Xenopus tropicalis: one gene and its partners. The protein of the gene in region 3 purifies or fractionates together with the protein of the main gene of each other region. This does not show direct contact. Links are inferred from orthologs where the notes say so. Each region holds a gene or a part of one and is shown on either strand. Other genes may lie near its edges. The genes, in order: nipsnap2, nudcd3 and klhl22.

Region 1 (3,654 bases), on a different chromosome or scaffold from region 3:
CTGTGGTTCTATAAAATCTAGAGGATCGTGGGTTTTTGCTTTATTGGAACTAATGTCAATAAATATGGCGGTCAAGTATGGCAAGACATCTCATAGCATAATTCCTATGTTCCTACATGGGACTAAAAGGTCAAAATCAACCCAGAAGTGAGGCCATAGCCATATTGAAAGATTAAATCACACATACATCACATAATGTTGAACATGACGCTTACTTGCTATTTAGGATTTGCTGTTTCCTGATGTCTACTGCTGGCCACACATCAAACAAAAAGGTGCTTGACTGCACTCTGATTCCTTGCAGTCATTCTCTGTGGGTCTTCCTTTAATATCAATGTTGCTAACATAACCCTTACTGATGCTAACTACTTCAGACTTCCTGGCCTTTTGTTCTCTGGGTTTTTCATTAATGAGGTGATAAATATGTGCAAACTCCATGTGTACCATTATGGAAAATATGGCAGTAGTGCTGTTACATTAGTGAGTCATATCATAATTTAAAACAAATATTTGTCATAAATCAATGCATAAAGCACACAAAATTATATGAGGATAGTGAAGTTTTGCTAATAATTAACAAGAAGAAGGAAAGACCATTCATGCCATACATGAAAATATTAACTAGAAAGTGGCTTGATCAATATACAATATAAAAGCTTCTTTCAGGCAATATAAAGATTGTAAATAATTTGCCGCATAAAACCAAGATGCTATGTAAATATCTTATTTTCCTAATTTGTAAAGGTCTGTTCACATTAAAGACTTTGGTCCTTCATCCTAACTGTAGTGTGGCCTGGATGCCAGTGAAGAATACTGCTACTGAAGGTAGACTGGAGTCTGCAGTATATATAAGCCATAATACATAAAACAATAATCACCAAATCCTTCACTAACATTTCTACCAACATCTCACACTTCAGTCCAGTCTTATAGCTCTGGTTCCATGGGTAGTGTTTGGGGACTTTCTGAGAGCAAGTTTCCTTCAACTGAAAGGGAAGTGCACTGCACCTGTACCAGAACTATATAGATCAAAATATATAGATCAATATATATATCTGCCTCTTATGGGATTATCCATACTCCAAATACACTGCATGAGAAGAGGGTGTTCTATTAATCATAAAATAACTATGTAATTGCAGGAAAAAAGATGTTAACCAAAATGGTTAAACATCCCACTGAAAGTCTGAAAGGCTACACTAGAACTGCCCTCTGTTTAGTAGATCACAAAAAACATTTAGGAATACCAGCTTAGAGGTTTTCTGTATGAAAGTATTTTCTTCTCTTCATGTATGCTCTAGTAACTGAGAAGTGGTAATAATTACACTGAATTTTGTACAGGTTACTGATCTCCTTTTTGGCCAGAAGGTTTGAGTGAGCATCCTTCCGTGGATCGACTTTACGAACAAAGAGTGATCGCAACCAGCTGTCTTCTCTGGCTTTCTGACTCGATGATGCAAGACCCCTGTAATAACAATATATCAGTAAGAGCTGGGAAGCAAGATTTAAAATGGACATGGCAAAAGGACCAAGTTATACAGCTCTTGCAGCACGTTGAGTTTATATTACTATATACAATATAATACACCTGGCCTAAGTCTATCTCCCCACACTATAACTATATAAACATAAATGCTTTACAATCTTCAACATTCTCAATTCTTGCTTAGTAGGGATAAAGTACAAGGTACTGTTGTATTATTACAGAGAAAAGGGAATTTAAAAAAAAAATGTAATTATTTGTTTAAAATAGAGTCTGAGGGAGATTCCTGTAATTTGTAATTTATTACCCTTTATGGGGTGACATTTCCCTTATGAAAAATGGACTGAAGGCGAATTTAACTGCATCTTTAAATAGCTCTAGGGAATGTGTCTGTAGTAACAGGTGACCGGCACATGCAGAATGTCCTTCAAACTGTGTGCCAGAGACTATTCTAACCAGAGCGACAGAAAAACAGCATAGAAGAATCTACCATTCTCTTCAGTGATGTCTGCAACCTTAGTAAAAGAAAGCCATAAAAGGACTAAATTATTATATAAGCTCCCTTTGCCTGCAGTAAACAATCTTGAGCACAGTGTAATGTTTTTCAATATATTTTCACTCCACATGATTTACAACTTGTATAGAGTTTGTTGCACCATAAGTCTTGTTTTCATGGATTATTGCTGGAGTACAGGATGGAGCACTTTAGAGATAATACATTGTTATATAACTGAGACACAATAACCCAGAAAAACACAGAAATGTGGCTATTTGCCACCCCTGGTAAAATGCTGTCTGAGGCAATGTTCTCTTAAAAATTGTATGGACTACCAGGCATTTTGAATTCCATGGTTGCCACTATACTACCCGATCACTGTTTTTCTTTTTCTTTTGTGCTTTTAGCTATCAGACATCGTATCTTATGATTTCTCATAACCAAAAGTAAGACTAGGTCAGTTTGACTTCTATTTATATGAGAAGCACGCTCATTTCTTCTTTTTTGCTTGTTCTTAGCATTACCTTCTTACTGCTTCACAATTGCACATAACAGTTTTTACCTTAAATACAATGGGATGTTTTTTCCTATTGCAAAACCTTCTGGCAGCAGGCAAGGCTGGCTTATAACTTCTAATCATTATAGAAGTAATCTCTATAAACCCACTATTAGGCTATAGGCCTACACGACTATTCTACTCGCAAGGCCTTGGCATACTGCCCAAGCTAAATGTTTCTTCATTCCCCAGTAAGGATGTCTATGTAGCACAATATTGTCACTGCTGTAGTATATAGTGATGGAGAACCTGTTATCTTTTTAACATCTGAACATGATAGTAAAATTGCTGTACTTCTACCCCCATATTTGTTCATCCTGAACAAATGCTTGTCATGCAGTTGCATTGTTTTCTCAATTTAACACCAAATTTATGGGCTGCAGTGAAAGCACCTGAAAAAGTTATGGGTGGCATTACCTTGACCCTAATTTTCTTTACTATTAAACTTTATATTTCTGTGGTTTAATTATGCTATTTGGGCAGGGTCGGACTGGAGGGTGCAGGGCCCACCGGGGCCCCTGCCCCAGGGGCCCTCCAGGTGCCCCCGCCGGCCGTGTCCCTTAACCCCCCCCAGGGGTCCCCACCCCACGTCCACCCTGAGCGTGCATACATTTAACGTGTCAGGGGAGGAACAGTCGGGCAGGGGAAGTGCCAGCAAGGGTCGGGTCTGGGCCACCGGGGCCCACCAGGTTTTTTCCAGGTGTCCCAGCAGCCCAGTTCGACCCTGTATTTAGGGCACTTTCAAGCTGTAGTTTAAAGTGACCTATAACACAAATCTGGGGAAATATTAAAAGTCTTGTTTACTAGCTTAGATGCTATTTTGCACAACTGGATTTGCCAACAGCAACTAAGCAGGTCTTTCCTTTTTATTTTTTTAACTTGTAACAGACCTCATTTTAACCCCCCCAGGGGCCCCCACCCCACGTCCACCCTGAGCGTGCATACATTTAACGTGTCAGGGGAGGAACAGTCGGGCAGGGGAAGTGCCAGCAAGGGTCGGGTCGGGTCTGGGCCATCGGGGCCCACCAGGTTTTTTCCCGGTGTCCCAACGGCCCAGTTCGACCCTGTATTTAGGGCACTTTCAAGCTGTAGTTTAAAGTGACCTATAACACAAATCTG
Region 2 (3,654 bases), on a different chromosome or scaffold from region 3:
ATAAGAAATGAGTTTGAACAGGTCTTCTACAAGTTAAAAAAAAGGAAAGCAACAATCTTATGGGTTGCCATGGGTATTTACGTTGGTGCAGTTTAGCAGCTATTTTTGTAAATCAGCCCACACTTGCACTAAGGAACCAAGAAGTGGGATTATCTATAAAATGAAACCGTTCACCATTTGTGCTGTTTAAAACAAATAACATTTTTTTTCTTTTTCTAATTAAAACAATAGGCAGAATACATTTCCAACGCAATTCTTATTTATTGACCCAAACTAAACAAAACTGTGGCTTTCCCCTTTAAATACATGTAAACACAATTTTAAACAATATGGTTCATATACTATGTTTATGGATACAATCTTACCCATAGAGAAAGCTTCAAACGATTTATAAATATGTTGTTTTATTCATGTCATGTGGGACGGACATCTGTAAACTGCTTTATGAGATCATTTTTGATCCAGTGCGCTCCCCATCTACCTGCTAAATATTACAATTAAAGGGGACATACACCCATCCATAAAACAATGTCAAATTCTGCTTCTGAGCATTTTTTTTTCATTTACATGAACTTTTTTATGTTAGTAGTTTGCACACTGCAAATATCATTATGTGTAAAGGGGTCACCCTCTACTGTTCTGCTCAGTTCTATTACTTAGTGTGACAGAAGCTACAGAACTGTGCAGAGAAGCATCAGGAAATACTTCTCGCTTCAGAAAAACAAGCTTTTTTGCTATTCTGTCTGCCCAGCACCCAGAGAGCACAGTAAAGGATGCTCCTGTTACACATTCATGATATAAGCAGTATAAAAACTGTGAAATAAACAGAAAAATTAAACAGATGGATATATGTCTCCTCTAAGGGAATAAAAGTTTAGCAAGTTTCATGCTAAGTGACATTACCAGTAGAAGAGGATGTAACCCCTGGAGCCAATGCATGGTATGGTTTGTTATGATTAATACAGATTGACCATATCCCTCCTCATACAGAGCAAATCATTTGCATGTGTAACTGCAAATGTGTAAATGTCGAGTTCACACAGAAATTCATCCAGTCTCAGCAAGCACCAAAGTCAAATGTTTACCAAAAGACATAAAACTTGGTTAATAAAAGGCATCGTATCCCAGCTGTGAATCAGCAAACTGAAGCCAGGGCACCGAGGATTTCCAGTGTGTGTCCATTGAGCTCAGAACTGAACAGCCCCTGGCGAGACGTTGAACATGCTTGGATCAAAATTCTGACCTTTGAATGGTGATCCCTCTGCATCCCATCCTTTCTTTAGCATTTCATGCACTTTCTGTCAGAAACAAACAGGAGGAGATACAATGTCAACAGGTATAGGCAAAATCTGTGTGCCGGCGGGACACCAGGAAAAACCCGGTGGGCCCCAGGGTTGGGGGTGGGCACGCCAGGAGGGAGGCCCTGATGACTGCAAAGGGGTGCCCTTCAAGTTGCAGCCTTGGTGGGCCACCACTGCCCCAGTTTGATGTGTGACTGTGTGCTTAGGAAGAGAGACTTATGGCCATCATTTCCAATGCACTAAAGCACAGAAACCAAATGAGTTGTTTGTGGCCACATCCAAACGTTAAAGAAATAGCTGTGATTAGGTCAACCTATATATTTAACTTCCTATCAGTTTGAGGAATCAGGTTTGTCTGTGTGGAAACGGAGTCTAGTGAACTTTAGAAATGTACAGTAACATGTGAATCAGTGTATGAACAGAAGGAGGGAAATGTGTGGATCATGATACTTTTGTTTTTAGGGCTTACCAACTCATGGCTTTGAGGCTTCCCCTGCAACTTCTGGTGATAATCAAATGTTAGTCGGTCCAAAACAGCATGTTCCTCATCATCCACAGTAGCCATGCTGCGTTCTTTGTTGATCTTGTCTATGTCAATCTTTTCTTCATCTTCCAATACGGCATTCCACCAAACCTCGCCACACTTACTCAAGCTGATCTGTGGAGAGTTCCCACTACACTTTAAATACAATGTACTAACAAAGTTTCATCACGTTCTGAATGATACATGGAGGGGTTGCAGCACTTTTGTTAATTGGCAGCCTAGAGAATTAAGGTTCATGAGCAACATCACCTATGTGTTTGTATATTTTCCCGTGTATGTATGGGTTTCCCCTGGGTAGTTTTCTCCACACTCCAAACAGGCAGGTTAATGGCTCCTGGTAAAACTGCCCATAGTGTGTGAATATGATAGGGATCTAATACTGTAAGTTCCACTGGGGCAGGGACTCATGTGAAGGATGTAACAGCCCTGCTCAATTTGTTGGCGCTTTATTAAGAATAATGATAATAGGTTTGTTGCAAACTTGCATATGGATTATTAATGAACAAAAAGGGGAAGAATGCAGGACTGATGAGACAATTTTGGACCCTGAAGCAGAACTGTTAGCTGCATACCAACATCCTGCGTTTTATAGTCCCATTTAGGAAAGCAATGGGTGAAATGTGGAGGCAAGTATTACAATGCACAAAGGGAAAAAGAGAGACGTAGAGCCCCTGAAGAAGTCTTGAAGGCATAATGGAGAAAGGTTGTAAAAGAAGCAGATCATGGGATGAACATAAACTCATGAAGTGGTGATTTACTGGAATGTAAAGAATTTGGGTAGGCATTGGGTTTATTTAGATATAATTCTAGAAGGACTCTTGAGGCACTGTCAGGGGAGGAGGAACAACTAGCAAGATGAATAAGCTTTGCAGCAGGATTTATTGTAGACAGTAAAGCAGACAGCCTGCAGAGTGAAAAACCAGACAGCAGGGGACTGCAGCAAATCAAGATGTGTCATGATAAGGGAGTGAATGAAAATTTGGTGGAATCTACCATATGACTACACACAAACTACATTGGAAGGATGAAAGATGCAAGAGAAGTTTCTGAAAATGAAATATGGGGAGCACGGAAATGCTATACAATGTTTATTCAGAGAGCTTAGGAGCTCAATGGACACTCATAGAATTAAAAATATCTAATATCTTAGCCATAAAGCAAGACAGGGATAAGGCGTTTAGGGGAACTTTGAGTCAATGCAAATAAACTTGAATAAACACCCGTGAATCAGAAATAGGATACAAGTTGAATATATACAAATTGAATACTACATAAACCAGAGAAGTAGTTATTAATACAGTATGGAAGGAATACAGATGCAAACTTGTATCATTATTAATAACAAAATCCATGAGATCAAATATGTTTCCAAAAGAAAACTAGCAGGGAGAGTAAAATTTAATGGCAGAACCATAAAGCACCCAAATGCCAGATGTACCAAGAATAGGAAACTTTAAATATGCAATAAGAGAGAAAACAAACGCTTTAGTGTATTTATAATGTATAAGTTCATTTTTCTTTAAAAACTGCTATACACCCACCTATAACCACAAAGTTTAGAGGAGTGGGTAGTAACCAAGGAGCTGGCCAGCAACTTGTTCTTATTAAGTGGTGAGATGAATGGAAGGAGTATGGCCAAGCTGACTATTGATCTAAGTGTAGAAATTATTTAGGAGTTCTATTGGGAGTATGGTCCTGCTAAGTCTCAATAAGCTGATAATAACTGAAGATTAAACCACAGGTTGTGGGTCTCTCAGACATGGCCCATGTGATCTATATGCAGGGTGCATGGTGGGACCATGCTGATGG
Region 3 (4,205 bases):
CTTATCTGCCCGTACATGGGGCCCTCCGATAAGCCTACACAACTGATATCTGGCTGAATGTTGGCCATTGTTGTATGTGTAGGTTTGATTTTCCCGACCTCGCCTAAAAAGTTGATCTTATAGTAAATGGACAGCTTTAGGGTTGGGGTGAAAAATTTTGAAGCTACTTACCACTAAACTCATACCGTTTCTTATTTTAACCAGAGGGCAAAATGATGTCTAGAACATTTTGCTAAATCTTTTTTTGGATCACTCCAGGAAGCCCTGACTGCCAGTGGTCTATCCTGTAAAGCAGGGCAGTTTACATTTTCAAATCAAAATGCCAACAAAAATAAAGATAACCAGAAGTGATTTTGTGTTTTGCTAGTTATTGGATGGGCTGCTTGAAAATACTTGGGAAAATAATATGCACTCCAAAGAGGGCAGACCCACTGGCTGCAGTTGGTAGAAGTCCTGGCGCTGCCCCAATTAACCAACAGGTTTAATATACACTGGTAACTTTTTGGAGGACTTAGCATTAATTTACTTTGGGGTCCCCAGTAGTCAGCCCAAGCGGACCTGGTGCTTCCTTGTTTATACCAGAGGACAAAATCATATATAGCTATGTCTACATCTGACGTTTGTGAAACCAGGCCAGTGGTGTTTGGCTCTCTATGGGGCCTTAATACAACCAAGGACACTGGTCTTCCCTATAAGGCAGGGATATTTATATCTGCAAATCAAAATTACGACGACATGATGTAACCATGCATGTTTAGCTAGAAAGCCAGCGTCAGTTCATCCTTACTTACTTATCAACTTGATATATTTCAAGGAATATGCTAAGTTTCCACCAGGCCTCGCACTGCCTGCCTTCTGACTGCTGGGGGAAGCAGCACTTCTCACAGTAGGTGAAGTATAGCGTGCATAGGGAATACAGCGCGTATAGTGTATAGCTTGCAGGAGAGGGAGGAGACGGATCACATGATCAGTCAGCGCAGGAAGAAACCGTTGCGGCACTCATCATTGTTAGTACGGGGTACATTCAACATTCCAGAACCGTAAAGGAACTTCCGTGATGTCATAGCCTTGTATTGCCGCTTCGCTACGCGGTCTCCTGTGTTGGCGGAAATGACGTCATGGCCTAGGTGTTGAAAGAGAGAGTCAGGTAAAGACTTTTGTGGCTGCAGGTAACGTCACGAAATGGCTCAGGTCACGTGCTGCGTAAATGGCAGGATCCCCCCCCCCCGCCCCCCGTCAGGTTAAGGGCGCTCAGTGCTCTTGCTCTCCTTCTCACACCTATTCAGACAGTTTGACCTAATGTTTACATCCGGTCGCCTCTGCTCTTAGACAACTGAGCTTCAAATTGTACAACTATAGTTATCCCCAGGCAGCTGTTCAGATCACATTAGAACTGCAACCCTAAACCCCAGGATGTGGGTATTTGTAGTCCAACAACTACATAGCTACAGGTCAAGGCTCCATAGTTTAACCAACATTGTACAATGTAGTGTAGTTACATATGTAAAGATCACACCCTGCTTTGGTTTATGTGTCCTGTTGGCTTAGGGTGGGTCATGTTTTATTTTTACTTTCACTTTTTGTATGTAGAGCAAAGAGTTTTCTGTTTATAGTAGTTACAAGCTGTAGTCAATTGGTAGTGCAAGTCAGTTTCACAGATGTGCCTAAATTAACTTGAGCATTTTGTGAGTACAAGATGTATCTCTCAGAATAAGCTCTTTACCTCTTTATTGTGGCGGCTGTTAATGTATTCCATTCTTACAGATGCTCTTCTGGTTCAGCTGTAAGTTTTGTGCCCAAGGGATTCCTGCCAGCCATGGCAGAGGATTTAGAGACAATGAAGCCAAGCCAAGCTCCCCAGCAGCCATCACTCCCGCAGGGCAGCAGCAAGACGTACCGCAGTGCTGAACATTCCCAAGCTCTTCTGAGTGGCCTGGTAGCACTCAGGGATAGTGGGATCCTGTTTGATGTGGTCCTGAAAGTGGAAGGGAAGAGTATAGAGGCTCATCGCATTCTCCTGGCTGCATCCTGTGATTATTTCAGGTTAGTGACTGGGTACTTTTGAATTTCTCCACGCTTTCTGACAGGCATCTGGTGATGTTCTGGTTTTATTGAAAAACAAAGCAAATAAATTGCAGCCTAGACACATTCATCTTCTCCGCATAATAAGTATGCTGATGATTATGTCAGTTTGTATTGATTTGCACTAGCTAAGTTCCTGGTACAACTGGGGGTGCCTCTGAGTTTTATTCATAGGTGTATTCATATTGTATAGGAGGTTACTCTTAACTGAAAGGTATTTTCTAAATTATTATTTCTAACTTTTAAGTCTTAATATGGAATTAAATTTCACATTTAAATTACGCGCAGATGGCATTTTAAAGACTGAATCACTGGGGGGGGGTTGCCAAATATTAGGCACCTGCCAGTGATTGTGATTGCATATCTGAAACTCCTGGCCAGTGATCCTGCTAGGAGAAAACTGCACCGACCAGTGGTTAACACACGTGAGCGATCCTCTTCCTTCCTTCTCCTTTTCTTTCCACTTTGCATGCATGAAGAAGGAAGAGGATAGCTTTGTCACATACACCCCGGCCGGTGCTGTTTTCTCCTAACAGGAGCGCTGGCCGGGGATCAGGTAAGCAATTATAATCACTGGGGGGTACCTAACATTTTGGCATCCCCCAGTAATTGTAACTTTCCTTCTCCTGTAACGGCATGCTTAAGCAATGACACAATACAGACCTTTCACATTTTCAGTGCAATTGCATTCAATTTTATCCTCCAGTTAAAAGATGGTAAGCTGTACGCTTCACAGATGGGCCAGACCAGTAGAACAGTAAGTCAGGCTTACACATAAAGGTCCCCTTAGTCAGTGAGGTTACCAAACAAGGAGACATATGCCTTATCTGGCCACCCACATACTGGGCCCAATTGGACTTATCCAATTGAGCTGGTGCACAGAAGGGAAAGTTGTGCTCACCACTAAATTTTTCACCATTAGGCGGGGGTGCAATGAGGTTGTGACTACATGCATATAGACAACAACAAGAGGTCCTCTGCACTCCCCCATTACCAATTTATATAGAACATTAAGACATTCTGTGCATTAAGCTACAAAGAAATGCCCTCCCCTCTGAGCAAAACTTGGATTGTTTGTTCATATATTGCAATAAACTTCAAGCTGGTCAACTATGTCAAAGTCATCCCTGGTCTGGCCAGTCCTACAGTCACTTTTATCTGATTCAATAAGAATTCTACTGCTTCAATATACATTTAACAATGGGACTGAGTTCCACCTGCAACTTGCTTTCAAGATTAAATCTCCCAAATGGTTGCCTTTTATTGGGATCACCTGACTGTAGCTGGGGAAGGGTAGTAGCTATAACATGGAGCTGGCCACTGTATGAGACATAGTGCATAGACAGCTTTAAAATCCTGTAAAAAATATGCTGATAGTTACTAAGATTGTGATATTTGTCATCCCACATTAAAATTCTATAACAATCTTTTATTTGTAGCCTGGAGTCTTTATTTATTTAGCACTGTGCATTAATATTAAAAAGGAAGATGACTAGTGACTTCTAGGATCTGTGCTTGCGGCTCCTCTCTGTGGAGTAATTGAAAAGCTTATTCAAATCCTTCATTCTTTGCGGGTTTTGAATATTGTTTTTGATTTGCATTTGATTTCTTTATCAAAGCAGCATCAAGGAATATGTGTTTCAAATATCTAAAATGTAATTTTGATTACTTTTAATTTTAGTAATACTTTGTTTTAGAAATATGCAATGCAGTCTGCTTTAGCTTTAGTTAAATAGTTAAGTCTTGTACCACAGTGAAATTTCTATAACCAGCCCTTAGGGTAGGGTCACTCGTACCCATGTGAGTCTAATTTAAAAGGCTCTCAGTAACCAGCATAAGAAGAAAATACATTATAGCCCATGTCCTTAATCCAAGATATGGTTCCAGATTTAGCTGAATCCCAGGTTTTTGTTACCAGAATATTATTCTGACCAATCCATTAAGCTCCTATGGTGATAAATGTGCTGTAAAACGTGTTGCAAAAACCACCTCCTCTTTCAATTGTTTTACCCTTTTACTTGCCTTCTGTGTTTTATCAAACAGTTCTACCCATTTACAAATTATGTTTTTTGTTTTGTGACAAATTATGTTTAAATGTGTCATCTGGCATAACCGCAAACCCA

What was found.
Region 1: the proteins of klhl22 (region 3) and nipsnap2 purify together in Homo sapiens (co-immunoprecipitation; 3 studies listed by BioGRID and IntAct, counting the BioPlex papers as one, with this or other methods). This does not show direct contact. The link is inferred for Xenopus tropicalis from reciprocal best matches to the Homo sapiens genes KLHL22 and NIPSNAP2.
Region 2: the proteins of klhl22 (region 3) and nudcd3 purify together in Homo sapiens (co-immunoprecipitation; 3 studies listed by BioGRID and IntAct, counting the BioPlex papers as one, with this or other methods). This does not show direct contact. The link is inferred for Xenopus tropicalis from reciprocal best matches to the Homo sapiens genes KLHL22 and NUDCD3.

Annotation. Positions count from the first base shown.
Region 1 is NC_030678.2:98,148,707-98,152,360, forward strand, and holds part of nipsnap2 (protein NipSnap homolog 2), read right to left. Parts: intron 1,466-3,654; coding exon 1,326-1,465; intron 1-1,325. UniProt on the Homo sapiens protein: Protein involved in mitophagy by facilitating recruitment of the autophagy machinery required for clearance of damaged mitochondria.
Region 2 is NC_030679.2:126,199,362-126,203,015, forward strand, and holds the end of nudcd3 (nudC domain-containing protein 3), read right to left. Parts: intron 1,960-3,654; coding exon 1,771-1,959; intron 1,299-1,770; coding exon 1,188-1,298; 3' UTR 238-1,187; downstream 1-237.
Region 3 is NC_030677.2:152,812,076-152,816,280, forward strand, and holds the start of klhl22 (kelch-like protein 22), read left to right. Parts: upstream 1-1,312; 5' UTR 1,313-1,413; coding exon of another isoform or gene 1,414-1,451; exon of another isoform or gene 1,452-1,529; coding exon of another isoform or gene 1,530-1,549; intron 1,550-1,611; exon of another isoform or gene 1,612-1,685; intron 1,686-1,764; coding exon of another isoform or gene 1,765-1,816; coding exon 1,817-2,043; intron 2,044-4,205. UniProt on the Homo sapiens protein: Substrate-specific adapter of a BCR (BTB-CUL3-RBX1) E3 ubiquitin ligase complex required for chromosome alignment and localization of PLK1 at kinetochores.